Caenorhabditis elegans: one gene and its partner. The protein of the gene in region 1 purifies or fractionates together with the protein of each later gene. This does not show direct contact. Each region holds a gene or a part of one and is shown on either strand. Other genes may lie near its edges. The genes, in order: paqr-2 and hpo-8.

What was found.
Region 2: the proteins of paqr-2 (region 1) and hpo-8 purify together in Caenorhabditis elegans (affinity purification with western blotting; one study listed by BioGRID). This does not show direct contact.

The regions. Positions count from the first base shown.
Region 1 is NC_003281.10:5,370,884-5,388,534, reverse strand, and holds paqr-2 (Adiponectin receptor protein), read left to right. Parts: upstream 1-8,605; 5' UTR 8,606-8,615; coding exon 8,616-8,699; intron 8,700-8,776; coding exon 8,777-8,866; intron 8,867-9,398; coding exon 9,399-9,502; intron 9,503-9,550; coding exon 9,551-9,690; intron 9,691-10,372; coding exon 10,373-10,740; intron 10,741-11,148; coding exon 11,149-11,883; intron 11,884-12,096; coding exon 12,097-12,321; 3' UTR 12,322-12,322; intron 12,323-12,370; 3' UTR 12,371-12,836; downstream 12,837-17,651. Other genes in the region: Y32H12A.8 (WDR59/RTC1-like RING zinc finger domain-containing protein), read left to right, coding at 1-417, 884-1,188, 1,341-1,691, 1,848-2,486, 2,629-2,697; Y32H12A.7 (ABC1 atypical kinase-like domain-containing protein), read left to right, coding at 3,132-3,314, 3,484-3,578, 3,764-3,953, 4,003-4,584, 4,934-5,140, 5,232-5,537, 5,915-6,100; Y32H12A.6 (Flavodoxin-like domain-containing protein), read left to right, coding at 6,545-6,742, 6,809-7,274, 7,320-7,495; szy-2 (Protein phosphatase inhibitor 2), read left to right, coding at 17,264-17,485.
Region 2 is NC_003283.11:6,826,632-6,840,754, reverse strand, and holds hpo-8 (Very-long-chain (3R)-3-hydroxyacyl-CoA dehydratase hpo-8), read right to left. Parts: upstream 1,467-14,123; 5' UTR 1,460-1,466; coding exon 1,410-1,459; intron 1,351-1,409; coding exon 1,233-1,350; intron 1,184-1,232; coding exon 1,076-1,183; intron 1,025-1,075; coding exon 900-1,024; intron 848-899; coding exon 592-847; 3' UTR 501-591; downstream 1-500. Other genes in the region: lgc-54 (Ligand-Gated ion Channel), read left to right, coding at 3-102, 150-234, 288-469; T15B7.15 (GRIP domain-containing protein), read left to right, coding at 2,211-2,276, 2,335-2,457, 2,505-2,646, 2,703-2,856, 3,251-3,521, 3,565-3,672, 3,722-3,874, 3,920-4,030; col-143 (Nematode cuticle collagen N-terminal domain-containing protein), read right to left, coding at 4,092-4,255, 4,306-5,101; T15B7.14 (Chloride channel CLIC-like protein 1), read left to right, coding at 5,413-5,427, 5,483-5,662, 5,709-5,780, 5,827-5,934, 5,998-6,154, 6,256-6,374, 6,418-6,564, 6,817-7,008 and 10 more; col-142 (Nematode cuticle collagen N-terminal domain-containing protein), read right to left, coding at 8,543-8,724, 8,774-9,569; col-141 (Nematode cuticle collagen N-terminal domain-containing protein), read right to left, coding at 10,062-10,189, 10,235-11,051; dmsr-15 (G-protein coupled receptors family 1 profile domain-containing protein), read left to right, coding at 11,869-12,062, 12,106-12,432, 12,700-12,804, 12,851-12,953, 12,996-13,096, 13,270-13,389, 13,432-13,585, 13,631-13,684; T15B7.8 (Nucleotide-diphospho-sugar transferase domain-containing protein), read right to left, coding at 13,883-14,045, 14,101-14,123. UniProt on the Caenorhabditis elegans protein: Catalyzes the third of the four reactions of the long-chain fatty acids elongation cycle. This endoplasmic reticulum-bound enzymatic process, allows the addition of two carbons to the chain of long- and very long-chain fatty acids/VLCFAs per cycle.

The DNA of each region.
Region 1 (17,651 bases):
ATGAGCACATTGAGCAAATGTCTCGAATGTTCATTGAGGAGAGCACAAGAGAGGAATGGTTGTCGATTAAGAGACATGAAGGTGTTCAGGCGTTGGATGTATGTGTCAACAGTAGCAGAAATATGAAAATAATTGGTTTTTTCACTATAATTTTGCAGACAATAATCCGAATGCCACCACCTCCATCATCCAAAATCAATGCGTATAAACTAATCTTCAAGCCAATCTACGATGCTTGGTATCATCTTTGGAAGTTTGAAAATCAACAATCGAATTCCAAAACAATAATCGCTAGAAAGTTTGATCCGGTTAAAGAATATCTTCATAAAGCAAGAATGATTGTCAATTATGCTCATCAACACTATCGAATGAAACGATTTGATTCGTTAATGTCAAAGGATCCGACGGAATTTCAATGTGAGACTTTGTTTCGTTTCAGAAACTGCAGTATTTTTGTAACATGAATGCAGAAAAATAGTTTAAATTTCATATGAATAATATTAATTATGATTCCATGAAAGTTGGGAAGGCTCCAGTTTGTGTCGAATTCCAATTTGAATTTCCGCCCATAGTATTTTTTCGATGGAGCGCACTTGCGTGTTTTCAAATTTAATAATTTTTCATAATTTCAATAATTTCAGTTTTCATTTCCCATTGATTTTTTAAGTTTTTGTGCTTTTCTGCTGGAAATTCGGAGAAAATTTTTAATTTGAATTTAATTATTTATTAAAAAGTTACTGAAAATACGTAAAGTTAGATTTTCCGACAACGACGAGCCTGAAAATAGTATATTCTTTTATTCGTATAGTGTTTAGACATTTTTGTCGTGTTTTAAATCACTTTCCCTACTGGCGCTACTTAAGAGTAAATATTAAAATTGCAGTGGTCGACCGTTCTGATGTTCCAAGTGCTTCACTATTCGATAGTCTTGATGCAGCAGTCAGCAAGTTCTGTAATGAAGATTCCCGTAAGTCTTTGTTTTTGGAAAATGCATTTTTTAAATTTACAAATGGGTATTCGATTCAGTATTATAGTAAATTTCTCAGTTTCTCCTTAAAAATCAATATTTCAGCTCATCTGGCAGAGGATCAGAAGCAAGTTGTGAAGGATACATTGATTCAGTTGGCGACTGGAAAGATTCCATATTTTACTACGAATTATTTTGGTGGTTATGACTACACGGAAAATGTTGGTTTTTCTTTTAACAAAAATTGTTTTAAAATTTAAAAATGTCTGCTTTTTTTTGAAAACATCTCAATTTGGAAAGCGACGGGTTTTGTTCGATTTTTAGAAGAAATATTTTGTTCTTGATTTTTTAAATATAATTTTCTGTGTTTCAGATTTCTCTGACTGAAGAAGACGAGGAGAACGATGATGACAAGTCTCCAGTACTCAGAAATACAGATATAGTTCAACCGGCGGCTCCAAACGCGAAATATCTTGAAATGGAGGATTGTGAAGAAGAAATTGAATGGCTCAGAAGTATGCACGAGGGATCAGATTTCCATAGACGCAGATTTATGGCTGTATTAATGTATAAAATGGCTCAGAAGGCAATTTTCCGTTTTGCACCACATTTGGCTGATTTTGAGAGAGGACGGAAAAGATTCCAACATTTGCTTACTTTACATGCAAAGCAGCGTCCATTGCTTGATATGATGATCACTAAAGTTCGGGGAACTTATTTCATGGTTAGTGGCAAGAAGTTCAAAAGAAAAGTCTTCCCAAAATTTTTTTTAGATCACTTTTTTAAAAACAAAAATCTGAATTTCGTTCCACGATCAAAAAAATGCAGATCTTTTATTTTAATTTGGAATTTAAAAAGTACTATTTTCAACAATTTTCAGCCGCTAGAAACCAACATGTTCCTGTATGATTCCAAATTGATAACATTTGCGGAATTAGTTGATTCGGAAGTTCATCCAAAAGAATGGAAGGAACGAAAAGAGACATTTGAAGAAATTAGACGACAGACACCGAAAGATCCAAAATCAATGTCTAGATTCCTGAATATGCATAATTCGGGTTCTGATTCGGATTCTGGTTCAGAAGTTCGATCGGATTCATCTTCGTCTCTTGGTGGATCAACTGAGTCTTTGAACAGCTCGAAAAAAGGAAAACGAGCTCGCCGAGCAATGAACAAGGCACAAAGAGAGCTGATGCTTTTAAAACTCCGATCGAAACCTGTAAATCCAGAAGAAACATTTGCTCTGGAAAAACGAGCAATTGGAGCAAAAAAGTGGAAGGTTCGACGAAAAATCAACGAGATGTTGGAAGGAATTGCGGATCTTGACAAATTTAAGATTGAGGCGAAGCTTCCGGCAAAAAAGAAAGATTTATTGAAACATATCAATGAATTAATTGTTGAAAATTCTGATACAGCACACTGGTCATGGGGTGATTTGAAAATGCAGACGAGAATACGAAAGATTCCACCAGCAAATAGAATGAAGCCGAAGCATATTAATCGTATTTTGAAGGGAAAGGTATGGAAAAATAGTTTCTGAAAGTTCTAAATGTTTGAAATATCTATAACAAATGAGCTTTAATGTTTTCTAGCAGTTCTACATTTTCAGACCCAAGATAAAATTCAAAGAAATTTTTTAAAAATAAATCTTTTTTTTTCAGAAAATGTACAAACCGCCGAAAAAATACGATCCAAAAGATGCGCAAACTAACGGACGCAAGTGGTTCTAGGAAGGATATACAGTTTTCTTCTTGTTTTATATATATATTTTTTGTTAAATTTTTTGTTATCTTTATCTCATTTTTATAGCCATTTTTCCAATGTATTTCGTATTCCCCTCAATTGTTCTCCCATTATTTTTTTCAAAATTTTGAAATTCTTTCAATCGCTAGTGATTATAAGGTATATTTTCAATATGTGATAATTTTGTATATATATATTTGAATCGATTTGCGCCCATCAAATTGCCTTTCTATTTTTTTTTTCTCAAAAATTATGTTAAATTATTTGTTTGTTCTGATTGGATTTTATGTGATATAAGATTGTTTTATGATATTTTTTTCGGGTCATCCTTTTAATTTGAAAACTGGTTCTAGAATCCTGAATTTTATCTTCTTCTGTAAACTTTTTTCAGAATTTCCAATATTTTCATATTTCCAGAGACATGATATTCGGGTCGACGAGGTTAATTTTGTACAGGTGCTGGGCTCACAGCAGAGCCGTGAGCTCTAGAAATTTTAAATTAGGAATTGTGCTCGGAATGGGTGGAGCTGTGTCTTTAACAAGGTTACGGACATTAAAATGTGAAGCAGAGCATCAAGATCCATGGCTTCTTGTTCCACAGAAAGTAAGATCGAATTTTAAAGTTAAATATTCAAACTTTCAAAATTTTATAAATGATTTTAAAACTTTCAATTACGCAAAAACTCTAGAATTTTATTCTTCACATCCAATTTTTTTGCATAAGTTTTTAATTTTTCGAAGAAAAAAATCCCATAAAATATCAAGATTTTTAGAAAGTCGTAGTGGAAAAATCAACGATGATGGGCATAATAACTCTACCGATTACATTGATCGTTGTCACTTATAAAGCAATAAGGAAAATGTTCAGGTGAGCAATTTTCTGAAAAAAATTGTCTTGCAATTTTTTTTTAATTTGGAGTTACAATGAAAAAAAATAAATTTCAATTTTTAATTGTACAAATATTCCAAAAGGCAACTTTTTATATCTCTGATCTGAAAATAAAAATGCTAAAATATGATTTCCTGGAAAAAAAGAAAATAAAATAATTACAGATGCATTAGCTTATTCCTTCGATTTTCTCCAATTCTTCTCACTTATCCTCTGACAAAAATAGAAGCATTCGAGAATCTTTGGTGGAGATATCTTCTGTGGTCTCTTCAACATTCTGGACCAACTTTTATTAAATTAGGACAATGGGCAAGTACACGAAGGGACATCTTCACAAAAAAGTTTTGTGATCGGGTGAGATTTTGATTTTCTAATCATCTTCAATTTGTATTTTCAATTTCAGCTCTCCGTGCTTCATATTCAAACTAAAAACAAGAGATTCTTCCGTGATAAGAAAAAAGTAATGAATGAAGTATTTGGAAAAGGATTTATGAAATTGCATGGAAAACAAGTATTTCTCGAGATTGAACCATTTTCAATTGGCTCAGGATGTATTGCACAAGTATATCGAGGTACTGTAGATATCTCTGAACTTGAGAAGGCTACTGGAAAGGAATACCCAGAGCTTAAAGGACGTACAACACAACGGATTGCTATTAAAGTGGCTGATAAAGATGTTGATAAGCAAATTGAATTGGATCTTTCAATTCTGAGAAGTGGAGCATGGTTAATGCAACATATTGTACCGGCTCTTTGGTATTTGGATCCAACTGGAGCACTTGAACAATTTGAAATGGTACTTCGGCGACAAGTTGACTTGAGAAATGAGGCGAAGGCTTTGAAGAAGTTTTCAGACAATTTTAGTTCAAAAGAAACTGGAATTAAGTTTCCAATTGTGCTTGGATATACTAAAAATGTAATTGTGGAAACATTTGAAGAAGGAATTTATATTAATCGATTGGTTGCAGAGGAAGGACAGCCAGAGGTTAGAAATTGGAGATTTGGTAGAAAAAATATGAAATAATTTTCCAAAATAAACTTCCACTCTAAAAAATTCATTTTGCAAAAAAACTTTTTTTTTTCAAATTTTTATTGCGTAAATTTAAAAATAAAAAATTAATTAGAATTTTGCCAATAAAAAAATTATTTTTCAAAAATCCGAAGATAGATTTTCAAAAAAAAAAGGTATTTTTTTAGATTTTTGAAAACGAAACATTTTTTCGTTATTTGTTTTTAAAAATTATTGATTTCGAAATGGTTACTAAAAATAAAATCGAACGTTTAAAAAATATAGAAAAAATAGATTTTCGGGATTCCCTCCAATATTCAATCAGTTTCAGCTAACCGCCCGACAATCACAAGCAGTTCGACGGAGAATTGCTTTGCTCGGAGCCCGAGCCCTTCTCAAAATGATTTTCGTCGACAATTTTGTGCATGGTGACCTGCATCCGGGAAACATTCTGATTCGATTCAATGATAATGAAGATAATCTCAGAGGAGTACACAAGGCGCCGAAAGCAGACAGTGCACTTAAAAGAGGGGTACGGGTTACTGTAGATATTTCGATTTTTTTGACAAGTGCAAGATAAAAACAAAAAAAAATCTGATGGATCATAATAATTATTTTTGCAGCTGGAATGGTTTCGTTCACTGGTAAACTTGCGTTCAGCTCCAAGAATTCGTTTCACCGACTCTCCGGATCTTGAAGATGAGCCTACTCTGGTCCTTCTAGACACTGGAATTGCCATTTCCGAAACACCGAAAAATTTGCACAATTTGAAATCGCTTTTCAGAAGTGTTGTGGAGAAACGGGGATACGATGTCGGGAAGCTTCTTCTTCATCAATCCCCCTTCCAACAGTGCAATGATCCGGAAAGGTTTTGCCGACAAGTGGAAAAGCTTGTGTTGAAGGCCAGAAGCGAAAAGAGCTTGAGAACTGTGCGTTTTAAACGAAAATGTTTCAAATTTTAATTTATAAATTGGAATTTTAATTTAAAAAAATCGTAAAATCTTGAAAAAATGTATAAAATTTTGGAATTATTTCTGAAAATTGTCAAAGAAAAATTCAATTTCAAAAATTGACATCGGAAAGAGTTTTAGTTTAGTTTTTTGTTTTAAAAATACAAAAAAAAATTGAAAACTAACAAATTCGAACAGTTTGAAATTTTAGAAAACTAAATTTAAATCAAAACTATGTATTTCCGATTTTGTTTCAAAAATCAGTAACTCAAGAAATTATAGGTTTTTTAGTTTCGAAATATATTGAAATTGAAATTTTTCAAATAAAGTTCCCTCATCAATATAAACTTTTTCAGCTCAATATCTCGGCACTTCTCTCAGAAATGTTCACAATTGTGGCGGAGCACAAAGTGGAGCTCGACTCGGCTTTCACTACAGTAATCCTGTCTGTAATGGTTCTCGAAGGATTCGGCCGATCTCTGGATCCGGATCTTGATCTCTTCCAATGCGCTAGACCGTTTTTATTAAATGTTCTCGTATAGTGGACTTTTTTGCGAAAATCGTCCTTTTCAATTGTACAGTTTCAGAGTAGCTTTAAGATTTTATAGTTTTAGTATTTAGAGATCTTCTTTTTGTTTCATTGGGTTTTACGCATTTTTCAACTGTTGCTAATAAAAATGTTCAACAATATTTTCTGCTTTTCAACTTTTTAAATTTTTTTTCGGAATGCTGGTCTCACTGTCCAGTTCTATTACTTCTTTTTCTTAGCCAGTTTGATTTTTTTTCCAATTTTTTTTACTTAGATGCCTGCTGTGTGGTGCTCCTTGCATGATGTGTTGTGGTGTAATTTTGGTACGTTTTTAATGAAGAAAATGGCTATATTAAAGGCGCAGACACTTCTCTCAAAACTAAATCGGTGTCTACGTTTTGAATCTTTTTATTATTATCTTATTTGAGAATTGCTCGAATTTCAGTAAAATATCCAAATGTGTGCCTACCAAGTTCCACCACTGCGACCTGAAGGAGGTCCACGTGGCAAGGAGCCGCAGTCGTGGCTCGAGGATTATTTGGAAGGAAAGGACGAGATTCTGCTATACATAACTGCCGCTTTGGGAGTTCTGATGCCGGGATTTGTCTATCTGCTCTATCGCAAGTGCCATGCATATTATGAACGTTATTCAAAGGTTGGTAATAGTGGAAAACAAAATCAACAAAAATCTGGTCTCGCCACGACTTCCAATTTCTTTCAGAAAAAAGAAGAAGAACGACTTGCCGAGGAACTTGCCGAATCAGAAGCCGTCGTAATAGTTCTAGGAAAAGAAGACGGGCTCGCAGCTCCGTGGGCCAAGGTGATTCACGACAAGCTTTGTGATGAAATGGTCCGAAAACCGATGATTTGGTGGTCAGACTCTTTGGATGTGAAGGAGTTAATGGCCTTCAAGGGATTTTGTATTTTTATCTCTGAAACTACGGCTGGTGGTCAGCCGACACCCTCGACAGAATGGTTTTTGGAATGGCTTGAGGATCTCGCAGCGGACTCGAAGCTTAGAAAGAAGGCGAATTTCGAGAAAATCAGATTTTCAATTGTTGGCTTCGGAAGCAGTGATGATGGGCCAGCTGGGTTCAATAAAGTCGCCAGAACTTTGCTGAAACGAATGAAAATCTTGGGAGCTAGGCAAATTACTGAAGTCGAACTTTTCAATACAACTGACACTGGTATCATACCGTAATAATGATTATTGTTAAAATGTTGAGTTTCAGATAAGCAAACTATGGAGCGATTTGTGGAATTTTCGTTCGAACTCCTTTTGCAAATGGATAAGCATCTTCCTGGAATGAGTGGTGAAGACACCGAAGAATCGGAAGTTGGAGACGATAGATCTGAGAGCTCTTCGGATGATAATGAAGTCGAAGAGAAACATAAGAAGTCGAAATAAAATTTGAATATAAATATTTATATTTTAATAATTGTTTATATATCGAGCTTTAATTGAATTTTCCTGCATTTTAAAGATATTTTGTATATTTGTATTATTTTTTCAACATTTTTCATAAATAAATTCGCTTTTTTTAAAGAATATTGGTGACTGCCAAAATAATAAGAAAACATTAATTTTTGAGAAAGTAAATATTGATCCAAATTACCGTAGTGTAGTTTTAAAGGCGCATGTCATTTCCAGGACGGGTCTCGGCACGGGCTCTAAAGTTTAGCTGTTTCCGTTGCTTCTTGTAAATAATTGGAGTTTTTTTTTGCATATTTCGAAGCATTAAAAAATTAGAATGAGTTTGATCAGTGCTGAAAACTAGAAATCTACGAAAACCTTTTTGTAAAAGAACTCAAAAAAAAGTTTAGAAGCAAAATACCGTAACGAGTTGTTAAAGGCACATACCACTTCCACTTTGGGTCTCATCACGAATATCAATTGTGTCTTTTTCGTTTATCTTTTGTTAATTTTTAGCGAAGTTTTGTGGTTTTTCAGGTGTTTTCTTCATTTAAAACATTAAAATCCTCAATTTTCGATAACTTAAATTGAAAACTATTTAAAAATTATATGAAAAATTGCCTTCGAATCTTTTTTTCATGGAAAATTCGCGTAACTTCCCAAATTTTTTTCCGCCGATTTTTCCGCCATTTCTTCGAACACGTCTTGGAGCTTTACATCGGGAAACACAAAAAATCTGTTTTAACTTGAAAGCTCGTTGAAAATACTCAACAAATTTTTCAGAAACTCATATTTTAAACAAGGAAGTCATAATTTCACTACATTGGATCCAATTCATGCAGGAGTACTTTGACCTCTTCTGAGTCTCCGGTCAGCAAATGCGCTTCCCCGCACCAACACACATTCCAGCAGCACGAGTCGCCCTCTTGTCTCATAAGCTTTCTTGAGAAAACGGAGAAAACTTTGCGCTTTTGGTTTGTATGTGTGAGCAAAAGCTTTTTAATCAATATCCGCTTTATTCTCTCACAGTTCCGATTTTATTTGATTTTTTTCTGGAATTTCTTATATTCTCGGTTGAAAAAAATTTTAAAAACTAAAATTCAGCTTTAACAAAATGGAGGAAGATGACGTGGAATCGGCAACACCGGCGGAATCGCAAAAACTTTTGCAAAAAAGCGTTCGAAATTCGTTTGACGAGGTAATCTATTTCACGTGATCTATTCTATGAAAAAAGAAAAAAAACACAGTTTTTAGTTTTAATTTATTACATTTCAGAGAGATATGGTGATGGTGTTGGACAATGATGAATTAATTATGGAAAATCGGAATAGCAGTAATCTACAAAGCCCATTGCGGAGTGTTACTGTACGTTTTTTGTTGGGTTGAAAGAGATTAGCATATGATTATTGATTTTTGTTGTCGGTGAGTGGTGGCTGGAGCTAGAAGTTTTAAGAAATTCTCACTGTTTGGAGATGTTTTTTTGAAGAAAAAGTGTTTTCAAAGAAATGGTAATTTTCCACTATTTCAGATCTTCTATTTTCAAAAAAAAATTGAAATTTTTTCTCGGTATTTAAAGCTGTAGCTGTATAAAAATTTTAAAGTTTCTGAAGTTTAGGTTTTTTCAGATATACAAAAAAAAATTAACGGCATTATTTTTGAATTTCCTGCAAACCAATAAAAACAAATAGTGAGAATTTTTCTGAAACCTTTTCCTATTTTTTTAGTGGTCAGTTACCGCTAATTCTTATTTAATATTAAAAAAGCTAGAATATCATTCTTCAAGCTCCAGCCAGCCACTTCGTGTTTTCATATTTATCACTGCTTGCCCTCATATGACAAATGTTATTTTTACGGTGATCAGAAATCAAATTTTGAAAAATTGAAAAGTGCATTGCAGGATGTGCTCCGAGAGGCAGAAAATATTATCACTGACGGACCGCTGCAGTTGGCTGATACACAAGAGAATCAGAATGTGATTGTTGATCAAGTCGATGTTCAATTGTAAATAATCATCAGATTTTTTTTTCTTCCAAAAAAACATTGTTTCAGTCCGAATAGTCAGCCATCAGATGGTCAACGATTTGAGATTATTGTTCGTCATAGTAAGGTTGTTGAACAGCCTGCAAGTCAGCAAAGAGACGAATCAATGTATGTGACAAGGCAGAATAGGCTTCCAACTTTGCTTGAAGGTAAGGTTATTGAAAAAAATGATTTTTTTTTAAAGTGCGAAAAATACTTTAATATTTCGCATAACATGCTTTTTGTATTTGAACCGATTTTTGATATTCATTTCATAGTTCATTCCCACAAATTCTTCTTGAGAAGTATTAAAATTCGTCCATAAAAATGGAATTTTTGAAGAAATGTTTCTAATTAAAAAATTCACACATTTACATTATTTATGATGTTCCAAATAAAAATCTAAACCAATTTTTTCAAAAATTATCGATTTATCCAATTTAATTCCCATAAAGGTTAGAGTTCAAGAAAAAAAGGCTTTTAAATGTAAAAAAATCGATTTTTAAAAATGTTCAATAAAAACAAAACAAAATATTTCTTTTGAGCTTTTGATATTAAAGCAAAACCAAACAAAAAATAAGAGTTTTGCGCAATTTATGAGAACATTTTCAAAAAAAAATTTTTTTTTACTATTTGTTTACAGTGTAACGAAATAAACCAAAAATCGCATCATTTACACCGATCTCTCGTTTAATAAATTAGTGAATTAAAAGTTAAATTTCCAACCAAAAAAAAACTTGTTGACCGTCACCTCAAATTAATTTTAGGTGACAGGAAGTGTTCTCATTCGTTTTTTTCAAAAATACTTCCCTCCTTTCACTAAACTACACTATTACTAAATGATTTCTATAGGAATCGAAATTGACAATGGAGATGTCCCATCAACGTCTAAAGCAGCCGCATTACCATTCAAAAAAGGACATCGTCGAGCATGGAGTATGCCGAATGCAAAAGGAGAAAAGATGACAGTTGCAGTTATTCATGATAATCATGAAGAAGGTGGAAATCAGCATCGTCGACGAATTGTCAAATACAAATTACATCCACAACGTCGGGGACACGAAGATGGAAAACATTTGAGATTTGTTACTGCTGGACATGATGCGGAGATTCATTTGGATCATAGTGATGATGATGATGAGCTTGAAGTTGAGATTAATGAAGAAGAAGTTATTATTCCTAGCGAAACTGGAGAAGGACCAAGAGCTGTTATCAAGAGGGTGAGGGAAAACTCCAGTGAGATAATTGCAAAATTGCAACAAAAAAAAGCAAAAAATGCAGCGATAAATGTTAATTGGCGGCAATTTTGCTTTAAACAAATTATGTAGAGAAAAACATTTCTAATAAGTTTTGAAAATTCACGAATCTCCGAAAATGTTTGATTTGGTTTTTCTTTCTATTAAAAGTTTTCTGATTACATTCAAAATTTTCTTTGTACTAGGAGCCAAAAAATTTTGCACACATGTGAGCTATTGATAAGAAAATTTTCAAAAATATACATTTTTGATAAGTTTCTACATATTTTTTGCAAGACAATTACTTGAAATTATGAGAAATCTTAAAGAATAATTTTTTGGTTAAAAAAAACGATTAAAGTTAAAAAAAAAATATTACAAAATTATTTTCAGTTCTGGGAAGCCCGCTGGAAGGCAACAAATTTCGAAACTCTACCCGAATGGCTTCAAGATAACGAATACCTCCGTACAGGACATCGTCCTCCACTTCCATCGTTCAGTAGCTGCTTCAAGAGTATTTTTGCATTGCACACTGAAACAGGAAACATTTGGACTCATATGTATGGATGTGTTGCGTTCTTCGGTATCGGAATATGGTTTCTGACTCGTCCCCATGATCAAATGCAATGGGTGGAGAAATTGATCTACTCGGCGTTTTTCCTCGGTGCAGTGATATGTCTTGGAATGTCATTCCTTTTTCATACGGTTGCATGCCATTCTATTGAAATGGCTAAACTGTTCAGTAAACTCGATTACACTGGGATTTCCTTACTCATCGTTGGATCATTTGTTCCGTGGATCTATTTTGCATTCTACTGTAGACCTCAACCAATGATAATATACAACGGAATGATTATTATACTTGGAATCGCTGCAATGGTCGTCTCGCTTTGGGATAAATTCGCGGAGCCCAAATTCCGGCCTGTACGAGCAGCAGTTTTCATAGCAATGGGCCTATCGGCTGTGGTCCCAGCATTTCATTTACTTGTAGTTGACGGTGTTCATTATATGGTTGAGGAGTCACAAGTTCATTTGATGATTATGATGGGAGCCATGTATATTGGTGGTGCAACACTCTATGCGACACGTGTACCTGAGAGATGTTTCCCTGGAAAGTGCGATATTTGGGTATGTGGTTTCAAAAAAACTAGCAATTGGAGAAAAATATAAAAATATATATTTTCAATTCTCGGTTTTCCGGAAAACCAGACAACATAACTTTAAAGATTTTAAACCACATTTTGCAAAAGAAAATTTACGAAAATACGAAAAAGACTCAAAAAATAAAAGCTAAACAATCTTTTTTACTCAAAAAAAAACTAATAACGTTTATTTTTTCAGTTCCAATCGCATCAACTCTTTCACACATTTGTCGTGCTCGCCGCTTTTGTTCATTATCACGCGATCTCCCAAATGGGAATGCATAAGCTCATGAAAGGATCCTGCCCGGATCAACTGAAAACTCGTTACGGTAACGAGTTGAATCCTTCCTTCGTTGGCACTTTGCTTGGGCTCGACGAGCCACTCAATGTCAGAGACTGGACACCGGCGGATGTTGGTTTATGAGGTAGATTTGTTTCCAATTTTTTATTTTTAAAAAATTTATAATTTTCAGAAACCTCTGCACAATATGTATAGTTGCGTATATATGCTCTTCTTGAAGCTGCTACAACCCTCTTCATACTATCCTTTTTCTGCTCATTTTCACCATTTTTTTTTCCATTTTCTTTCAAATTACCTGGTTCCCCTTCCCCACGCTCCTCAACTATCTGTCGAAACATTCTCAGCTAAAATTCCAATGTGATAAATTCTATACACTCCTTTTTTCATTTTATTCCCCCTTTTCGTTCCGTTTTCTTCCATTGAAATTAGTTTTCTTATTATTCTTTTCTTGTTTTCGCGTTCTCCTTCATTTTCTCGGAACCAGATTTGGTTTTTTTAAACTTTAACATTGAACTTTTCGAGCTTTGTTTTTTTTTTCTTTTTCGTATTTTATGAATTTCATTTTACTGTGTAGCCCATTATTCTATTTTCGTGTGAGTGTAGTCGTCTAGGCGATTTAAAATAAAATTTTCGATTTTTTTTTGTGATTTTTCGAACAATTCATGAAGTCGGCATAATTACCAAGCGCTAGTGTCTGTAAAATAGCGGAAATTTAAGAGTTTTAGCGAAACATTCACGAAATCACATATCTTGCAATTTCTCATCAGTTTTCTACAGAAAAAACTCGTAGTTCCACACCATGCAGGTGAAAATCTAGCAAAATCACCCTTTTTCTTCATTTTACTTGAAATTTGATCAGATTTTTGGTTTTTCAATGTTCTCAGGCGATCAGGAAGTGCTGAAATCTGAAATTGGTTTGAAGTCGATAATTTAAGGAATTTTATTAAACAATCTCGAGTACAGTAACTTGAAAGGCGCATCTACGAAAATAGGGATTAAATATTGTATCTCTGCGAGACCCACGCATACTATAGTAGAATGTCCCTTTAAATGGAGTACGGTACCAAAAGTAGACAAATTTTCAGATTTGTTTGTTTATTTTAGAATTTTTTGTTTTCAGCCCCAAAAAATTATTCCAGTGCCAGAGTTGTGTGTCACGCAGAGTCTCCGTTCTCTTCGTACACTTGTATGCATGTCTGCACCCTCTGCGGCTAGTTTGTTCTCTCACATTGTTCACTTGTTGCTCCTCAGTTTTTTATTCTATTTTTCTTTCTTTTTTCTTTCGGGTCGCCGCATTCTAACAATTTCTTGTCTCTGCTCTGATAAAAACAACAAAATTTTCGATTTATTAGCTCCAACTTTCCTCCCATTCTCCTGAAAATTTCCTGAATCAAAATGAAAAATAATATTTTGTTATTATCAAAATATATAAACTGTCATGTGAAACGTGGGTTATTTTTTATTTTGTTTTTTATTTAAGCTCCTCCCATTTTTTAATAAACTAATAAATGAAAATTTCAACGAAAGGTCAGGAATGGGAGGAGCTTAAATAAAAAACAAAATAAAAAATAAGCCACGTTTCACATGCCAGTTTATATATTTTGATAATATTTTTCTTCCTTCAAAAGGATTAAGCATTAATCATTAGAATCTTTTCGCGATTTTCCGGATTTTGCTTCAAAATAACCGACAAAAATCTTTCACAATTTCTAAAGAACTTGGAAATTGGGGAAAACCGTCAGTTTTGGAAGGCCTTTGTGAATTTTGAATATTGAATAAAATAACTGTTTCAGCATTTTATTTTAAGAAAACACTTAAAAAACAAAATGTTTAATTGTTTCCTTCAGCGGTCAAGTTTTCTCTAAATTGCCCAGTAATATTCAGAAAAATTCTCGATGTTTTGTTCAAAATTACCATGGCACTAAAAATAGTCTGTCCAATTTATTTTGTGTGTTATTTCGTCTTCTGACCGAATGGCGCAGATCTCTATTTCCGGAATCAGCTGCCTCAATTTTCGGCACCCCACAGTTATACATTATTTTGTTCAAATGATACATTTTGCGATTTATGATGCATTTTTTAATCGCAAAAAAGCAAAATAAAAGTGTGCGCCTTTAAAAGTAATTTGTCCTCCTCGCTGTTTTGTTTTTTTTTTAATTTAAAATCAAAATTTTTTTTCTACAGTTTACTGCACAAATCTCATTTTGATTTTTAAAGCAAAACAAGAAAAATTGAAAGAAATTGCAAAACTACTGTACTTTTCAAAGGAGCAATATCTTTTTCGCATCACTCGACTCGAGACCGAATACCGTAAATCAGCCTCGTGAAATTCACATCTGTGTGAAATCATATTTTCAGTGAAACACGCGCAGTGGAAACCTTTTGTGATGTCGGGGGATTGTGTTTTTGCGAGACTATGTCGAATGTAGACCGAGTGAAATTGATTGAGTGAACACACAGACACAGAGATACACACTAATTCGATGTTCTTTTTCTTTTCGTGAAGCCCATTTCAAAGAACATTCTCGCAGCATTTTCTAGTTATTCCTTATACAATTTTCGGATTTATCCGTTGAAGGTGGTCGTTTTTTGGTATTGAAACGTGTATCTCCACGATTTCCACAGCATTTTCGGTTTTTAGAAACTCAATTTTCAAAACGAATGAAAATCAGTTCAACAATAGTTTCTGTTCAGATATTTATTTTTAAAAAAGTGCGGAATTTCAAATTTGAGGCAGCTTATCTAGGATTTCCAACTAATTTCCGGTTTTTTGTCGGAAAATCTGTGTTTTTTTTCTGCCAAACTTTACCTTCTGCATAAAATAGTTGAAATGTTTGTCTATAAGTGACCGTAAAATGAAAGCTCAACCGCAAAATTTGGCCACGTTGCAAATAACATCGTTGCTTCCCCACATTACCCCTCTCCGTGAAAACTGAAAGGTGACGAAAACATTCTCTAGGTCTCCTCCGCACCCTCCGTCTACATTTTTCATTTTCGAAGGCTCTTCTCCTCCCGTACATGTTATTATCATCACGTCTTCTTCTTCTTCATCTTCTTCTACAACTACTTGAAGTAAGCAACGGCTTCTGCTATGGATAAATAATCAGAGATCAAAGAACATGATTATTATTATGATTGCTTTTTGTTCGGTTTTCCGAAAAAAAGAGAGAGAGAAAGAGGACAGGCGGCAAACCAAACAAGTTTACGTACAGTCCTGACTGTGTCAATACTCTTGGCTGGCGTCTCCCCTTGTGATGTCACTCACAAGTCAGTTGACCCTTCCGGAGTGTGTGGGGGATCTCTATCAGATTCTTCTGAGCTTTCTCTCGTTTTGTCAATTTTTTTCAGCTGCCTGCTGGCTTCGACGAAAAATGTTCTTCCCCCTATGGCCTTGCTTCTTTTTTCGCTTGAACGCTCTCTCAGAGAGCCCCACAGGCTGAGGAGAGGCGCCAATTGCATTATTGGCTCTTCGTTGGCTCTAGCCGCCTTAGACGGAGAATAAAATGCGGCCACCCAAGAGTTTTTTGGACTCGTTACTCTTCTTCCAACTTGTTTTCACTCATTCTATTCTTCCATTTGTCAAAAAAACATTTGTGCGTGAAGAATGTTTTCTTTAAGGTGACCTACCACTTTCGAGGCTCTAAATAGTCATATTATTAGTTAGAATATGACTGAAAATACGAAAAATTAGATTAAAAACACTTTGGTAGCCAATATATGGGCGGAGTCTCTTTTTGGAATTTTCTTGCCGTCGTGCCATTTCATTTCAAATTTGATTTTGATGTTTTTGAAATCTCAAACTGAAATTGCTAGTTCTAGGCTGCAATTATCTGAAATTACTCAATATATTTTGCTGAGCTTGAAAGTTTTGATAAATAATTGCTCCCAACCCACCCACTCACTATAATTGTTACTTTATATTTAAAAATTAGTTTAAATATTAAACTTATTGATGTCCTTTCTTGGACTCAATTTTTCTGAAGTGTCAGTTCTTCGCACCCTTATTTCTTTTTTTTTTCTTCAGAAATGTACTAGTACGTGCTTTAGAAATTTATAAAAGTAATCATTTACATAACTTTCAAATATTTTTTTGATGAATAAAATTAATTTTTAAGAACTTTAGTTCAAAAAATCATTAAAATGGTGTAATATTTCGACGAACCAGGCACTAGAAATTATTATTTTCTCTAAGACCTAGACTTACTTTTTTGCAGATTTAGAACATTTTGACCTGATTTTTTAATTTTGACCGAGAGAAAAATATTTTTTTAAAAATATATATGGTAGGGCTTCGATTTCTCTTTTTCATGCCACATTCAACATTTTTCAAATTATTTTTTTCTATTTTCGACATCATCTTTCGGTTTTTAACCAACCGGATAATATATCAAAAGCTGACCAAAAAGATAATTACGTTGTTGATCACCAACTACTGATCACTGAGGGAATATAAAATATATGAAAATACATAATTTGGTGATTCAATCATTCGAAGTTCTGATCATTTAGTGAAAAAAAGGTTTCTTTCGCAAATATTCGAGAGCTCAATGCTAAAAAAAAAGACGAAAAGTATGCAAAGTCATTAATCATGTAGGATCTACTAGCTTCTCTTGACTCTTTTCTCTGCAACAATCACATCTTTGTTCCGCGCAAAAAAGGCGAGTAGCCAGTTTTTTCGTTTCTAATTAATTTCCTTTTAGATTACAGCTCGCATGCTTTTACTTTTTCACCACGCTGTGTCTCTAGCTATTTCAGTCGTGTTTACGGGAATATATATGGAAAAGAATTATTGATGTATTTTAGATTATCCAATAGTTTAAGTGATGAGGAAAAAATAATCTACAAAGATAAATTAGCAAAAAAACATTTTATGTTTGATTTCGAAAATATTTGAAAAAAACATTCTTAAGTTTTTGAGAAACTTTAAAAACTTTTTATGACAAGTACCTCTAAATAGTAATTTGATAACTAACGTTTCAAAACGATTTCTTTTTGCTTTGCTTTTTTTACCTATTCACTTTTTCGAACCTAGTTAAAAAATAAATTCTCCATCTATTTTCAGAAAATGGCATCACCCTCCGCTTCTGCAGACGACGTCAAACTGACAGCCGATGGAAAGATTTGTCTTGATGATCCAGCCGAGTTTCTGAAAAGAAAGCCAAAGAAGAGTATTCTTAAGATGAAACAAGACTCATCGCTTGAGGGCAAAGATGGTCGTGCACATTTTGATGAAATGAATATTCTTGCCACTTATCATCCAACTGACAAGGATTATGGAAGCATGAAGGTTATTTTTTTTAGCATGTGCTTTCTTTTGTGGCTGCAAAAAATATTTCCTTCTTCCTCAAGAGGGACCCTTAAAAAAACAATTTGGATGAAATATGGGAATTTTTTGGGAAAAAAACGTCCTCGAAAAGTTTTTCAACTAAAAAATTGAAACAAAAAAAATGAAA
Region 2 (14,123 bases), on another chromosome or scaffold:
AGAAAAAAAGACAGAAAGAAAAATAACTATGGTGCAACTACAGTAACCAATGCAAATGCAGCAGAGAGCGACTTGAGGAGCAATTATGATGAGCCTTTTTCAGTGAGATTATTGATTTTTTTTATTATTTTAAATGTATTATCTTTTAGCAGAACGGGACTACAAGCCATAAAATTTCAATTTCTCGACAAGCGAACAATATGTTCGAATCTTTGCACGCTCTCGCACAATTCGGTACTTTTAAATAAATTTGTGCATCGTTTATTCTCTAAATATTACTTTTCCAGGACTCCTCACGGATGACGATGACGAAAATACCAAATGGACTGCACAAAATGTCGACAAATTCTGCAGAAAAGCATTTCCATTGTCGTTTTGTTTTCTGAATCTCATATATTGGTGTTATTATTTATACCAGAATTATTTGGCAAAGGCCGAAGCTCTTGCTCAAATGACGCCACCATCCTGATTTTCGGGTGACTGTTTTTTTAGAAGACATTACGGGAGAATAATTTATGAATAAAGTTGAATTTTGATTGGTTGCAATTAATCTAGAATACACTGTAATATAAATACACGTAGAATTTTTCTTTACTGCTTCTTCTTGCTTCCTCCGCCGAGAATCTTCTTTCTTTGACCGATCATGTAGAAGTAAAGTTGTGGGAATCCGGGAATGTAGCTGAGAGCAGCAATGATGAGCACCCACCAGAAGGAGATTCCCATGTTGAGACGGTTTGGCATCTCGAGGGTAAGGATTTTCTTCTCATCAACTTCATTTAATGAAGCGAACAACGTCAGAAGCTCTCCGGAGACTCCCATTGGGTAGAGAACGTAGAAGAGGGTGTATCTGTAATTAAAATAGTTGAGTTATAGCATTGATCCCCAGAATCTCAAAATACCTGAGGTAGAGAAGGAAATATGGGATTGGTTGTTTCAATACGCTGAGTGCATAGAACGAGTACCGGATGACCTCTGTTACGGACCAGGCAACAAGAAGAAGTGGAACTCCGATACTGAAGCGAGCCTAAAAATTGGTTTAATTTATTCAAGTTTAAGATAAAAAATTCCAACTCACTGTTGAGCACAAGTGGAGGATTGGCCAGACAAGGACGACGCGAGATGTTACTTGCATTGCGGTAGTTCCAACTGGTGAACGAACAAGTCCGACAATTGCGTGAATGACCTGAATATGATAATTTCTTTAAAAGTTTTTCAATTTCAACAAAGCTAACCTCGAGAATAGCTGCGGTTTGGAAGATTTTAAGCTCAAATTCCACCGATTCGTAAAGTTGTGGCCATGTCAAGCCATTAGCGAGTCCAAGAACTGTTTTCACAAGAATTGCAGACCATCTGAAATTAATTTAAATTATTAAAATTATAGTGAACTTCTTTCAGAAAAAAAAACGTACCCTAAAATTTGTAACACGTTGTACGCAACCAGATACGTCTGAACGCTCATTGTTACCCTGCAAAAATAAGGATTTTAGGCAATGCAAAGAAAAGAAAATGAGAAAAGTATATCACGCCACACGAAAAAAAAGATGAAAGGGTAGAATGGAGTGATGTACAACAGAAACGTTATCAGTCAACTTGCGGGGAGTTTGAAGAAACATTTAGCGAAAACATAAAATGGGACATTTTATGTAATGTAAAACATTGGTAAAATTCGAAAGTTTAATTGAAAATATATAAATCTTCATACGATATCTTGGTTGATACAGGAAAAATGTAAATTTCTTAGTTTTTCAGAAAAATTATGAGAGCGAGGTTATTTATTTTTAATAAAAATTGAAGACTTCAGTTTTTTAATTGGAAATTAATCAAAAAATCTAGAAATAAATCACTTAAATTAAGAAAATGAAAGAAAATAATTTTTAAAATTTTAATTCTTAAGAAACATTTTTCTTGACTACAACACTCCGAAATAACCCTTCGCGCTTTGTTTATCGTAAATCTACATCAGGGCGTTTTTGGGGACAGTTTAAAAAATAATTTTTTGTGGAACAGGAACAGGAACTTGAAGCAGTTTTTTTTGTTCTTGTATTAAAATATTAAATGTAATTTTGAAACTAAAGAAGACTTATTTATATTTAAGCAAACGCAGGAAATTAGTTGTTGCACCATGGACGGAAATTGAAATTTTATGGCTGACTGATCTGAACTCTAGACATTCTGAGTTCTTTTACGTATTACTTTAGTTACTCACAACTATGATTTCTAAACAACGCCAGGATTCTGATGAAAAACCTCTCGAGGAACAGTTAGAGTTACTGCAGGTGGTTTTAATTTTTGAAAATATTATCAAAATTACTTTAAATTTTATGCTTCATTCAGGAAAAAATCGCAGAAATGATAGTAACAAATGAGGCGACCGAGAATCAGTTGACAAATTTAACATTCGAGTCGAACGATGTGATTATTTATCTGAAAAAATTGGTTGAAGAGAAAGACGAAGAGGTAAGAGAGGAATTAGAGAAAAAGGCAAAGAACGAGCATTGTTTCAGACTGCTCGTTTGGAAGAAATGTTGGAAGAACAGAGAAAAGAATCAGATAGAATGTTTAAAATTCATAGAGATAATTCTGAATTAGAAGAGAAGAAATTGAAAGAGCAAATTGAAAAGTTAAAGAGTGAAATGAGCATTATGGGTAGGCCGAAAAGAGAATAGTGAAAGTAGAATTAAAAACTTTTTCAAAATTTTTAGATACACAACTGGGAAACCAGCATCGTATCGAGCTAGAAATCATTGAGATGGGTGCAAAACTGAATTCTCTACAAGGTGTCGTTGATGAACAGGAAGAGACAATTCGAAGAAAAGAAGCAGAAGAAAGAAGCGTCAAAATTGCAGCTATTGAGCAGTAGGTTTCAAAAAATTGTATAAATTGAGGGGTTACGATGGTAGATGGGCTCGCCTTCGTGCCTATTTGTCTGCGTCTGCCTAGAGCCTACACGCCTGAACGGCTCCCTAAAATTTTGCAACAAAAATTATTAGTCAAAAATATATATTTCAGTTCCTAAAACCTACTAAACCAACACAAGTATCGTTTTTTGTGTTCCAAAAAATTGTCTTTAATATCAGGAGTTACCGAGTTTGCCAAGCTATGGAAATTGCATTTTCTGAAAAAAAAATATGCAGACTCATTTAGCATCTGGTTGTTTAAAAGAAATACTTGGTCCTTTTCGACCACTAAAGTCTCGTACTTTTATATTGTCACGTCGCAAATCATCTAGAGAATTAAATGAAAATTCCAGAGCTCGTGCAGATTTGAGCGCCGAGTTCGAGCAAGCTGTTGCTGAGATCCGTATTGAAGCAAGTCTGGAGAGCAAAGGTCACACTCTGATGAATAATCAAGTAATTGAACATTTGGAATTAGAACTTACCAGAAAGAAGCAAGATATGTTACGAATGGAGCAAATGCTCGAGGAGAAACAATCCGAATTGACGCAAGAAATAGGAAAAACTCAGGAACGTGAAGAAGAGAATTTAAAATTACGGAGTCTTTTGGAAAAGAGTGGCCAGACTGTGAGTTATTTCCTTCCTAACTTTTTTATTTAGTCTTTTCCAGACTGAAAAGGCATTGAAAGATAGTAAGAGACGACTGGAAGAATCGGAGAATAAACGAAAAACTACTCTCGAGAAATATATTCAAATTGAGAATGAATTGAATAGTAAAGTAAGTGTTGAAACTTTTGAAATAAATATAGCAAAATAATAACTTATAGCTAGACGAAGCTCTTCAAAACTCAGACAAGTGCCAAAAAATGACGTCACTTCTTGAAGATCAGCTTCTGAGAGAACAACAGACAAGGAAAGCGACAATTGATTCTCACAAGGCTCAAAATAAGAAAATTGAAGAACTCAAAGTATTCTTTAAGGTAATTCAAAACAACTTATTCCATTATTTTTTCTCTTTATTTCAGGATGTTCTATCCAGTGAAGAAGGTCTTCTAGACGAAGTTATAAAAGAGAATCGAAATGCTGTGTTTGCTCATCTTGCTTTGATTATATCTAGAATTCCAATTGTTCGCTAATGTACATATATGAAATTATCAAAAATTGTATGCTGAATATTTATTAAACAATGACTGTTGCTTAGACGGCCTGTGCGTGAACGCGAGCTCTGCGTTGAACGGCAACACGGCGGCGAGCTGCGATACGGTGACGGACAACAACACGGTTGCGGGCAACATTTCGATTGACAGCGACGCGGCGGTTGACGGCCATGACAGAAGAACGGGCTGGGCATGGGCAGTAGGCTGGAATACACGATTATAAATATAACATAATTAACTTTCGAGAAACTCACCAGCATCTCCTCCTGGGGCTCCTGGGTTTCCTGGGGTTCCTGGAACTCCGTCGTTTCCAGAATGTCCTGGTTGTCCGGATGGTCCTGGTGGTCCTTGAGGTCCTGGAGTTCCAGCTCCTCCAGAACGTCCTGGCTGTCCTGGGGCTCCAGCTGGTCCCTGTGGTCCTGGTCTTCCGGATGCTCCTGGAGTTCCACGGCTGCGTTGTCCTCCACGACCTGGATTTCCTGGAGATCCTGGATGTCCTGGCTGTCCTGGTGATCCGGCATCTCCGGCTGGTCCGCGTGGTCCTGGTGGTCCACGTCCACCTGATTGAGCTGGGGCTCCTGGTTGTCCGTTGTTTCCCTTTGGTCCTGGGGCTCCTGGTGGTCCAGCTGGTCCTGGTGCTCCTGCTGGGCAAGTGATACAGAATCCTGGTCTTCCCGTAGCTGGGTTAATTCTTGCTCCAGATCCTGGTTGTCCAGCAATTCCTGGAAGTCCTGCCTCTCCGCGAGCTCCTGGTTGTCCTGGTGGTCCTGGTGGTCCAGCTGGGCATCCACGGGATTGTTCTCCACAGTTGCATTCAGCCTGTCTCTTGTTACGTCCGAGAAGGAATGATGACCCGGATGATGGGCGAGTGGTTGGGATCATTGCTTGCCAAGCGATTTGCTCGTATCCCTTGAACTCCTTGAGCTCCCCGATCTTCTCATCGTAGAATGAGTTGATGTCATTGAAGATCATTCCAACTGTGAAAACACAGACAACAATAGCAATACCAGAGGCGGCCGAAGCCACAGTCACAAGAGTACTGGCGCTCATCTCTGCAGATGAGAGTGAAGTTGTATGTAACGGAACCTACCTTATATACAATTCTACCGGTTACTAGGTAACAGAGGATATAGCATAGAGAATCGAGAGGGTCATCTTGGTTTATCAATCCCTGACTTGTGTCCTATTATTTCAAAACCAGTTTCAACGAGGAAGAAATGTGAAGAAGATGCAAAATGGGCAACGCCTCCAGAAAAAAGTAAACGACGTGAACTTAACGGATAGCATCGCGTTGGAATTTAGAAACGTTGGAAACGCGTAGGAAATTGCTAGAAAAATGTTATTGTATGAAAATTCTAATTATGTGGAAAACTGTTGTGAGTTTTTAAAATAAAGTCTTAAGAAGTTTAGATTGAAAATTGATATTTTCAGACAATAATTATAGCATTATGCATACAAAAAATATATTCAAATGTAATTCCCGAGATGGCATGTTATCGACTTGACCATCAGCCACCAGACTTAACATCAGAAATTCAAACTTCTATCACCCCAAAAACATTTTTAAATATGGTTGAAGAGTTCACAAAAATGGAGGATATTGTTCTGCTGGTAAGCTGCAAACTTATAAATTTTCCTAATTTTTCATACTTTTCAGAAAGCAGGAGAAAAAATAATTACCAATCAGAGTCTTACCACTTTCGAATACTCCAAATTGGGAATCTTTCGAGTATAATTTTTGGTTTTGTTTTCAAAGACCTGTGTTTTTTTTTCAGAAATCAACACTATTCTACATAGCAGTTGCAGTATGTTACCTCTACTGGTTAATCTACACATTTTGCACTTTCAAGTTTTCCCGCTCTCAATTTGATTTGTTAATAGCGGTATAATTTCAAATATGAAGCATATTAGCGCCACACAGGCCACATTTGACAAAAAATTTTCAGCCATATCGAGGATTCTATCTGAAAAGTGTGTTGATGCTATTTTACTTTCTCTTTATTGCGCTCACCAGTTATTATGCATTCGACACGTTCAGTTGGATACAACATTATGTAAATGTGTATGACGATAGATCAAAAAGGATGGAAAAGTTTATGAATGGTCAGTACAGAGGAGGGAGGTTGAACGGCGCCCCGACCGGATGGAATGTCTAGTTCAAAGAACATTTGTTTCCTGATCATAAATTTCATTGAATTATTCAGAATACACACGCACAGTTGATTTGGTTAGCTCAAGACTCGCGTGTTATATTGAGGAAATTGATTCTGAATTGGATGAAGTTGAAGTTTTACACAACAAGATAAAGAGATATCATCTCCAGGTATTTGTTTCTCAAGGAACTGAAAATTTAAAACTATTTTCAGAATGTGCCACCTCCTCAGTATATATTGAACACTGTTAAACGGTTTTTTGATCACTTTAAGCAAGATTGCAATGCAACTGTTGGAGTATGTGGATTTGGAACACACAAAGTGAAAATATCAAATTGGAGCATAGCTGATTTCTTTTTGGTGAGCAGTTGGGTTGAAATACAAAAAGAGATGTTCTAACTTGCTCACATACAGTAACCCATCAATATAACTCTCTTATCTTTACTGTATCACGTTAAGTCTACTCGCTAGTCTCAATTCACCTCTGGAACATGTGTCTACCTAATTTTCAGAAAAAATGACGTCAAGTACGCTGTTTTCCAAATAAAAAGGGGCATTCTGGATTTTTATAGCATTTGTAAAAGCGATTCAAACATTAGAACATTTTTACAGACAGAGTCAAATATACCTGATCCTACGGTTTTCCGATATTGGAACGATTTTCCAGTGGCACTTGACAAAATAAAAACTAATGTTTTGGTACATGGCAGATCGGATGTTGCATTGATAAAACAAGCAGCACAAGAACGACTAATTCTTCTGAAAGACGTATATGCAAGTATAGAAAACCTGTTCACGTTGCCGGTGAGAATTGATTAGAAATGAAAACCAGTACATTTTTTCAGAGTCCTTACATTGTTTCAACATCGTTTTATATTCTTCTTTGTCTATTTGCTCCATCGTGTTTCATCTCGCTGCTTGCTCTTTTAGCCATATACCGAGGGCACGATTATTTGGAAAGTAAGTTTACTAGGTTGGATGTTTCAAATCATTTGTTATTTTCAGAAAACAATGCAGCTGTCCCGCTCGGTTCGTTTCTGACATTATGTAATCACATCTTTCAACTCGCAGCAATTTGGGCGCTCATCTGGTCATTTATTGTGATTCTGTTTAGTAGTGCTTCTCACAGTCTATTCCTGAATGTTCTACGAGACACGGATTTAGAAGTTATTGGGAAACTGAATGTCACAGATTCAAATGGAACTTCTTTCTTCAATTTACGGTATTAAAGTAAAAAATAGAACACTCTATAAGTATTAAGTTTAAGGGATTTTCTAAAGTCAACTGATGAAACTGTTCTCGAGGAGCTTTTAGCATTAAATCCACAAGAATTATGTAAGTGATTCAAGAAATTAAATTATTTGAATTTTTATCTACCACAAAAACGGTTAAACATTTTCAGTGAAAAATAATGATGAAACATACGTGCGAGTGTTAAATTCGATAGATGCGATGAAAGATCAACTTAAACTGACTGTGGATTATCATACGCCAATCAAAGAATTAGTGAGCAAAAGTTAAAATTTGTTGTTTTGTTTAACCTCTTAAATTTCAGTGTGACAATTTAGAGGTATTATTTTTGGAAAACACTAAAGGATGGATTGCTAAAATAAACTGTGAGTTGAATTCTTAATTTCTTAATTTTTTAATTTCTTTAAAACTTTTTTTTTACTTTTTCAGAGAAATCGAGAAAATAGTTAATCTGTGTGTGGTTGGAAAAGTAGAATGCTTCTACTGTGGTTTTGAAGTGGGATTACACTATATTTATTTGTAAAATACAGTATAATTTCAGAGGGATCGAATTCAGGCATCCATTGCGGCCAGTAAAATTAGAGAGTTGAGTCTAACTGTCGCGAATGTAAGGTTTTACTGTTGGTTTTAGTCAAAAATTGAAAGGATTTCAGAGAACTGGCAATGATCTGGAAGATTTTAAATATCTTCATGAAAAATATCGTTTGCAAATGTGGAATTATTTTGTGGCACCTATCACTTTTCTTGAAGTTCCATGCAGTAAGTAATAACCGAACAGCTTTCATAAATCTTCTTCTGTTAATTTCAGTCATTCTTCTTATCTCGATTTATGTACTTAGCTTCATGTTGATGGCTTCAATATCTATAGTGGAAACGAAAGAGTTAGTTAATTATCTTTCTCATAAACGTAAAATTTTCAATTTTTCAGCCCTGATGATTCGAGCTTGGATAGATATCAATATTACCAGTTCCATACGGCTGATAGAGGATTGTACTGGTTCAATATTTAAATTTAATTGTGTTTTGTTTTTGAGAAAATTCTTGAAATGAAATGAATTTATTAAAGAGAATGGCGGCATTTTGCCACTTAGGCAACAGCCTTCTGGACGCGGTGTCTTCTGACAGCGGCACGTCTCTTGGCGGCAACACGATTGCGAGCCACGACGCGAGAACGAGCAACAACACGGGAACGAGCAGCGACACGGGAACGGGCGGCAACTCTGGAACGAGCAGCAATAGCAGCTGAACGAGCTGGACATGGGCAGTAGGCTGAAAGTAAAACAAAATAAAATGTGTTTGTTCCTGAGATTTTGCTTACCGGCATCTCCTCCTGGGGATCCTGGGTTTCCTGGTGCTCCTGGAACTCCGTCGTTTCCAGAATGTCCTGGTTGTCCGGATGGTCCTGGTGGTCCTTGTGGACCTGGAGATCCTGCTCCTCCGGAGTGTCCTGGCTGTCCTGGTCCTCCAGCTGGTCCTGGTGGTCCTGGTCTTCCTGATGGTCCTGGAAGTCCACGGCTTCGTTGTCCTCCACGTCCTGGGTTTCCTGGCGATCCTGGGTGTCCTGGCTGTCCTGGTGATCCGGCATCTCCGGCTGGCCCGCGTGGTCCTGGTGGTCCACGTCCTCCGGATTGAGCTGGGGCTCCTGGTTGCCCGTTGTTACCCTTTGGTCCTGGGGCTCCTGGTGGTCCAGCTGGTCCTGGTGCTCCTGCTGGGCAAGTGATGCAGAATCCTGGTCTTCCGGTAGCTGGGTTGATTCTTGCTCCAGATCCTGGCTGTCCAGCAAGTCCTGGGTGTCCTTGCTCTCCTGGAGCTCCTGGCTGTCCTGGTGGTCCTGGTGGTCCAGCTGGGCATCCACGGGATTGAGCGCCACAGTTGCATTGAGCTTGTCTCTTGTTACGTCCGAGAAGGAATGATGATCCGGATGATGGGCGAGTGGTTGGGATCATTGCCTGCCAAGCGATTTGCTCGTATCCCTTGAACTCCTTGAGCTCTCCGATCTTCTCATCGTAGAATGAGTTGATGTCATTGAAGATCATTCCAACTGTGAAAACACAGACAACAATAGCAATACCAGAAGCGGCCGAAGCCACAGTCACAAGAGTACTGGCACTCATCGTTTGACTCGATAATGTGTGTCTATTCTCATTGCTTGTCTCACCTTTTATAGATTCACAAAACCGCAAAAACGGTTTTCATCTCTTCCTTCGATGGGCAGTGTTTTTCTGAATGTGAACTTGTCAATTTGAAGATGGGTTTCAAGAGATTGTGTAAAAGTAAGAGAGTACTAACCAGTGTACTACTTTTTTGATTCAATTTTTCCGTATTTCCAATTAGTGTACGTTGCCAATTTCCGTGTTCGAGGAGACAGACCTTGAAACCGTTTTGGTGACCAAACAACTTTTTAGTGAGAAGAGAACAGAAAATAAACCGGGTCTTATGATCATGAAAAGGTCAAATTAACATTTGCAGGACCCTACTTTCTGTGTTGTCTTATTTTGAAAGGTTTTATCTCAAAATCGTTGTTTGGCAAGATTTCTTGTGACTACAGGAAACTGGATTGAATGTTGAATGATTTATTATTTTTTTCATTAGGTAATTCCAGAAATTTAGGCTTTCTGAACACGGACACGTTTGACGACACGACGCTTGGCAACTGCGGCACGGGAACGAGCAACCTTGAAGACGCGCTTGCGAGCGGCCATTGCAGCAGAACGAGCTGGGCATGGGCAATAAGCTGAAAATTGAAAATATTTTTATAGTCATGAGACTTGTTTCTTACCGGCATCTCCTCCTGGGGCTCCAGAATTTCCTGGTGCTCCTGGAGTTCCTGGAGTTCCTGCTTGTCCCGGATGCCCTGGTGCTCCAGGTGCTCCGGGTTGTCCGGGGGTGCCTGATCCACCAGATTGTCCTGGCTGTCCTGGTCCTCCAGCCGGTCCTTGTGGTCCCGGTCTTCCTGATGGTCCTGGAAGTCCACGGCTGCGTTGCCCTCCACGTCCTGGGTTTCCAGGGGATCCGGGATGCCCTGGCTGTCCTGGTGCTCCGGCGTCTCCGGTAGGTCCTGTTGGTCCAGCTGGTCCTGGTCCTCCTCCAAAGGAATCTTGTCCTGGGGCTCCAGCGTTTCCTGGGGCTCCTGGAGCTCCTGGAGTTCCGGCAGGTCCTGGTGGTCCGGCTGGGCAAGTGATGCAGAAACTGTCACGGCCGGTTTGTGGGTTGACTCGAGCTCCAGATCCTGGTTGTCCAGCGATTCCTGGAAGTCCTGGCTCTCCTTGGGCTCCTGGGTATCCTGGTGGTCCTGGTGGTCCAGCTGGGCATCCTTGAGATTGAGCTCCACAGTTGCATTGGGCTTGTCTCTTATTACGCCCAAGAAGAAGTGATTCGGCGTTGACAGGACGAGTGGATGGAATCATTGATCTCCATGCGTTTTGTTCGAGTCCCTTGAACTCATTGAGCTCCTCAATCTTTTCATCATAGAATGAGTTGATGTCGTTGAAGATCATCGCAACAGTGAAGAGGCATCCGAGAACAGCAAGACCGGAGATGGCCGAAGCCACAGAAACGAAGGTGCTGGTACTCATCGTATTGGATGAAGTATGCATTTCGGTGGACACACCTTGCCTTTTATACGGTCTTACATAATACTTCCGAGGTCATCTCTCCGAGACAATCCTCTACTATGTCCTATATACTTAGCTCCTCCTAGGTGCTAAATATCGTTGGAGAAGGCAGAAGTGAAAAAGTAAAGTTTCACTGCTTACTAAACAACTCAATTAGTTCAGATGAACAGTTTCTCAAATTAGATTTCTCTGTCTCTCCGCATATTCTCGTTCACATCATTACTGTCCCTGAGGTTTTCAAACACGGAAGCGGAATAAACAGTTAACGAAAACACAGACATTGCGGTCGTCCTTGGGTGGCATTTCCTTGATCGCATCAAAAAATGGAAAATGTTAAAATCTGAGAATTGATGAATTTGCCATTTGAATTCGTGAAATGAACTATCAAAACAGGACAATTAAGCAACCTTGTTGAAATTTGAGTGTTAGATTTTTTATTATTTTGCTTTTTTTTATTATTTTGCAAGCTTCAATACTTGCTTGAAATGCATTAATATTTAAAACGAACATTTGCAAATTTTTGACACAATGTCAAATTGTTATCTCACTTTTGCTAGCATTTAGCGCAAAATATTTTGACTATTTTAAATTCATCTGTATTATAATCTTACTTTTTCGGATGTTTTCCAAGCGGAAAACGACGAGGCAAATATGCGGCAGCTGCACCCTATGAAAATTTTGTCTAGACTTTGTACAAGAACTTTAAAAATACCACGTGTTGTTATAAATTCAAATACAAAACACAGCTGAAAACGTCTCAAGAACTTATTGACAGTATGTTAAAAAGCAAATAGTAATTATGAAAATTTTGAACCTACATATATCTGAATATAAAAATAAAATGACAGTGGAATACAACTCATTTGAAAAAAAAAACATGTCAGAAAATAAAAATCGCGGAGATATTTCGGATTGTCAACAAAATTTGCTCGATTCAAATCAATTTTTATTTGAAGATTCTTTTTTAAGAACTGTACTAGTCAGTTTTTTTGAGTAAGTGATCCCAAGATTTCTAAATTGTTTCCTAATTTTGCAGAGCATATAACCCCCTTCATATCTATTTTCTCGTTTTCTTCACCGTATTGGACTTTTTCTGTAATATTAGCTTTATAGTAGTATTGTCCCAAAAAGAGCTGCGAACATCTGGAATAAATTTGACAATGATTATGATTGCCCTGTGCAACTTTTCTAGTGTGACTTTGAATTTATTCGACAAAATGTTGAAATTGCTCTCGGAAGAGACTTATTTAAGAGCTTTGTACAATTATTTAGAAAATTTTTTGAATTTGTATGTGCCTGTAATGGCAGATTATCTTGTTGTGCAGATGACATTTTGCAGAGTTATGGCGTTGTATTCAAATAGGTAAGATTTTTTGAATTAATTTTTTGAATTGATTTTTTAAAAAGTTTTGCATTCAAAATTATCCTCAAAAAAATAGTGTTACAGTCTCTACTAATTTTATCACGTTTACCTCAAACAAGAACCACCCAAAATATGTTTCAAATGTACTTTTTAATTCTTGTATGGTACCTTGATAATTTACAACATTTTTCAAACTATCATCAGGTTAACTAGTTTATAATAGAAATTTCACCATTTTTACTCAAAAGCGTTTTGCTTCTGTTTAAGCGACAAATGGAAAGGCAGAAAAGTTGCTGTTACAATCTCGGCTGTTCTATGGATTTTCATCGGAATGCTGTCCAGCGCTGTGCTTGAAATTACAGAAATTGAAAAGTGATGCATACGAAACATTAGTTTTACTTTATAATTCACATTTCAGAACATTAACTGGGAAGTATGCTGTGACAATACCTGATGAATACATTGAAAATGGATGCATCGTATTTCGGATGTCTTTGCTGTTTTATGGGATTCTATTTGACGTTGAGAATAATTGGTTACAGACTTCAACGAAATTATTTCAGATTGTTCCACTACTTCTGCTTTTCATATTTTTCTTGTTAATTCTGTGCAAACTGAACTCTTTCAAAGCTCATAGAAAGAAAACAATGGGCAAATCAAGCTCGTAAGCTTTAATAATTTTAAGGTTCCCGATATTCAAATTTTATTACAAAAATTCGTTTTAAGAAGTTACAAGAAACATACATAAACGTTTCGAGAAGTTGAGAAACTCTTTTTAATCAAGAAAAATCGATAATAGACTTTGTCATAAATTAATTTCATGTAAATAAATTTCAGATCAGGAATCGAAAACTCCTCGCGGCTTTTGCAAGTAGTTTTGATAATGTTTTTTCTAGTCAAAATCCCGAGTGCAGCGGTAACTATTTTCAGTGCAGTATATATGATTGACTATTATATGTAATTTATTTTCAACCTTTTAATACAAAGATTGCTTTTTAGGTTTGTGAAAAAGTGGACTTTTCAATTTATCGAAATTTTACTTACTTTCAACGCATCAACGTCTTTTATCATCTATTGTATAATGTCTTCGCAGTTCCGTGAAATTTTTGTTCGGTTATTTGTCCCTGAGAGTGTCAAACAGAGAATGCAATCAGTTGAGATTTTTGATAGTTTTTAAGTTGAAAAAGTTGTGTTTCAGAAAATTATGAAGAATTCCCTGGTGGTAACTACTCGAAAAATGGCATGGCAGTGAATAGTCTTTAAAGCCCAATTACATCTTCTTGAGCAATTTTATTTTTATTTCAAAATTTTTTTGTTTCAACTCCAATAAGTACAATGAATGTTAAAAATTATTTTTAAATGTTAGGGTGAAAAAAAAGTAGAGACCCGCAATTTATAGCCGTTTAAAAAAGTTAGTAAGTCGTTTTAGAATATAAAACTTTCCAGACAGTTAAACATGGAATGAGAGTAAAACAATAATAATTATCAAAATTGACCCAAAAAATGTTATGCTTCCGTTTGTATGATTTGTCTCATTGTCCGCTTTTATTTTGAAATCTTGAGATCCAGAGAATATGATATCAGCCCATGACTGAACGATCGTTGTACAGTACCTAGAAAACATCAACTAAAAAACCAAAATTAGTCTGGTATTTTAAGCACACTTACCTTGTTCTATTCTCGTAAGACGT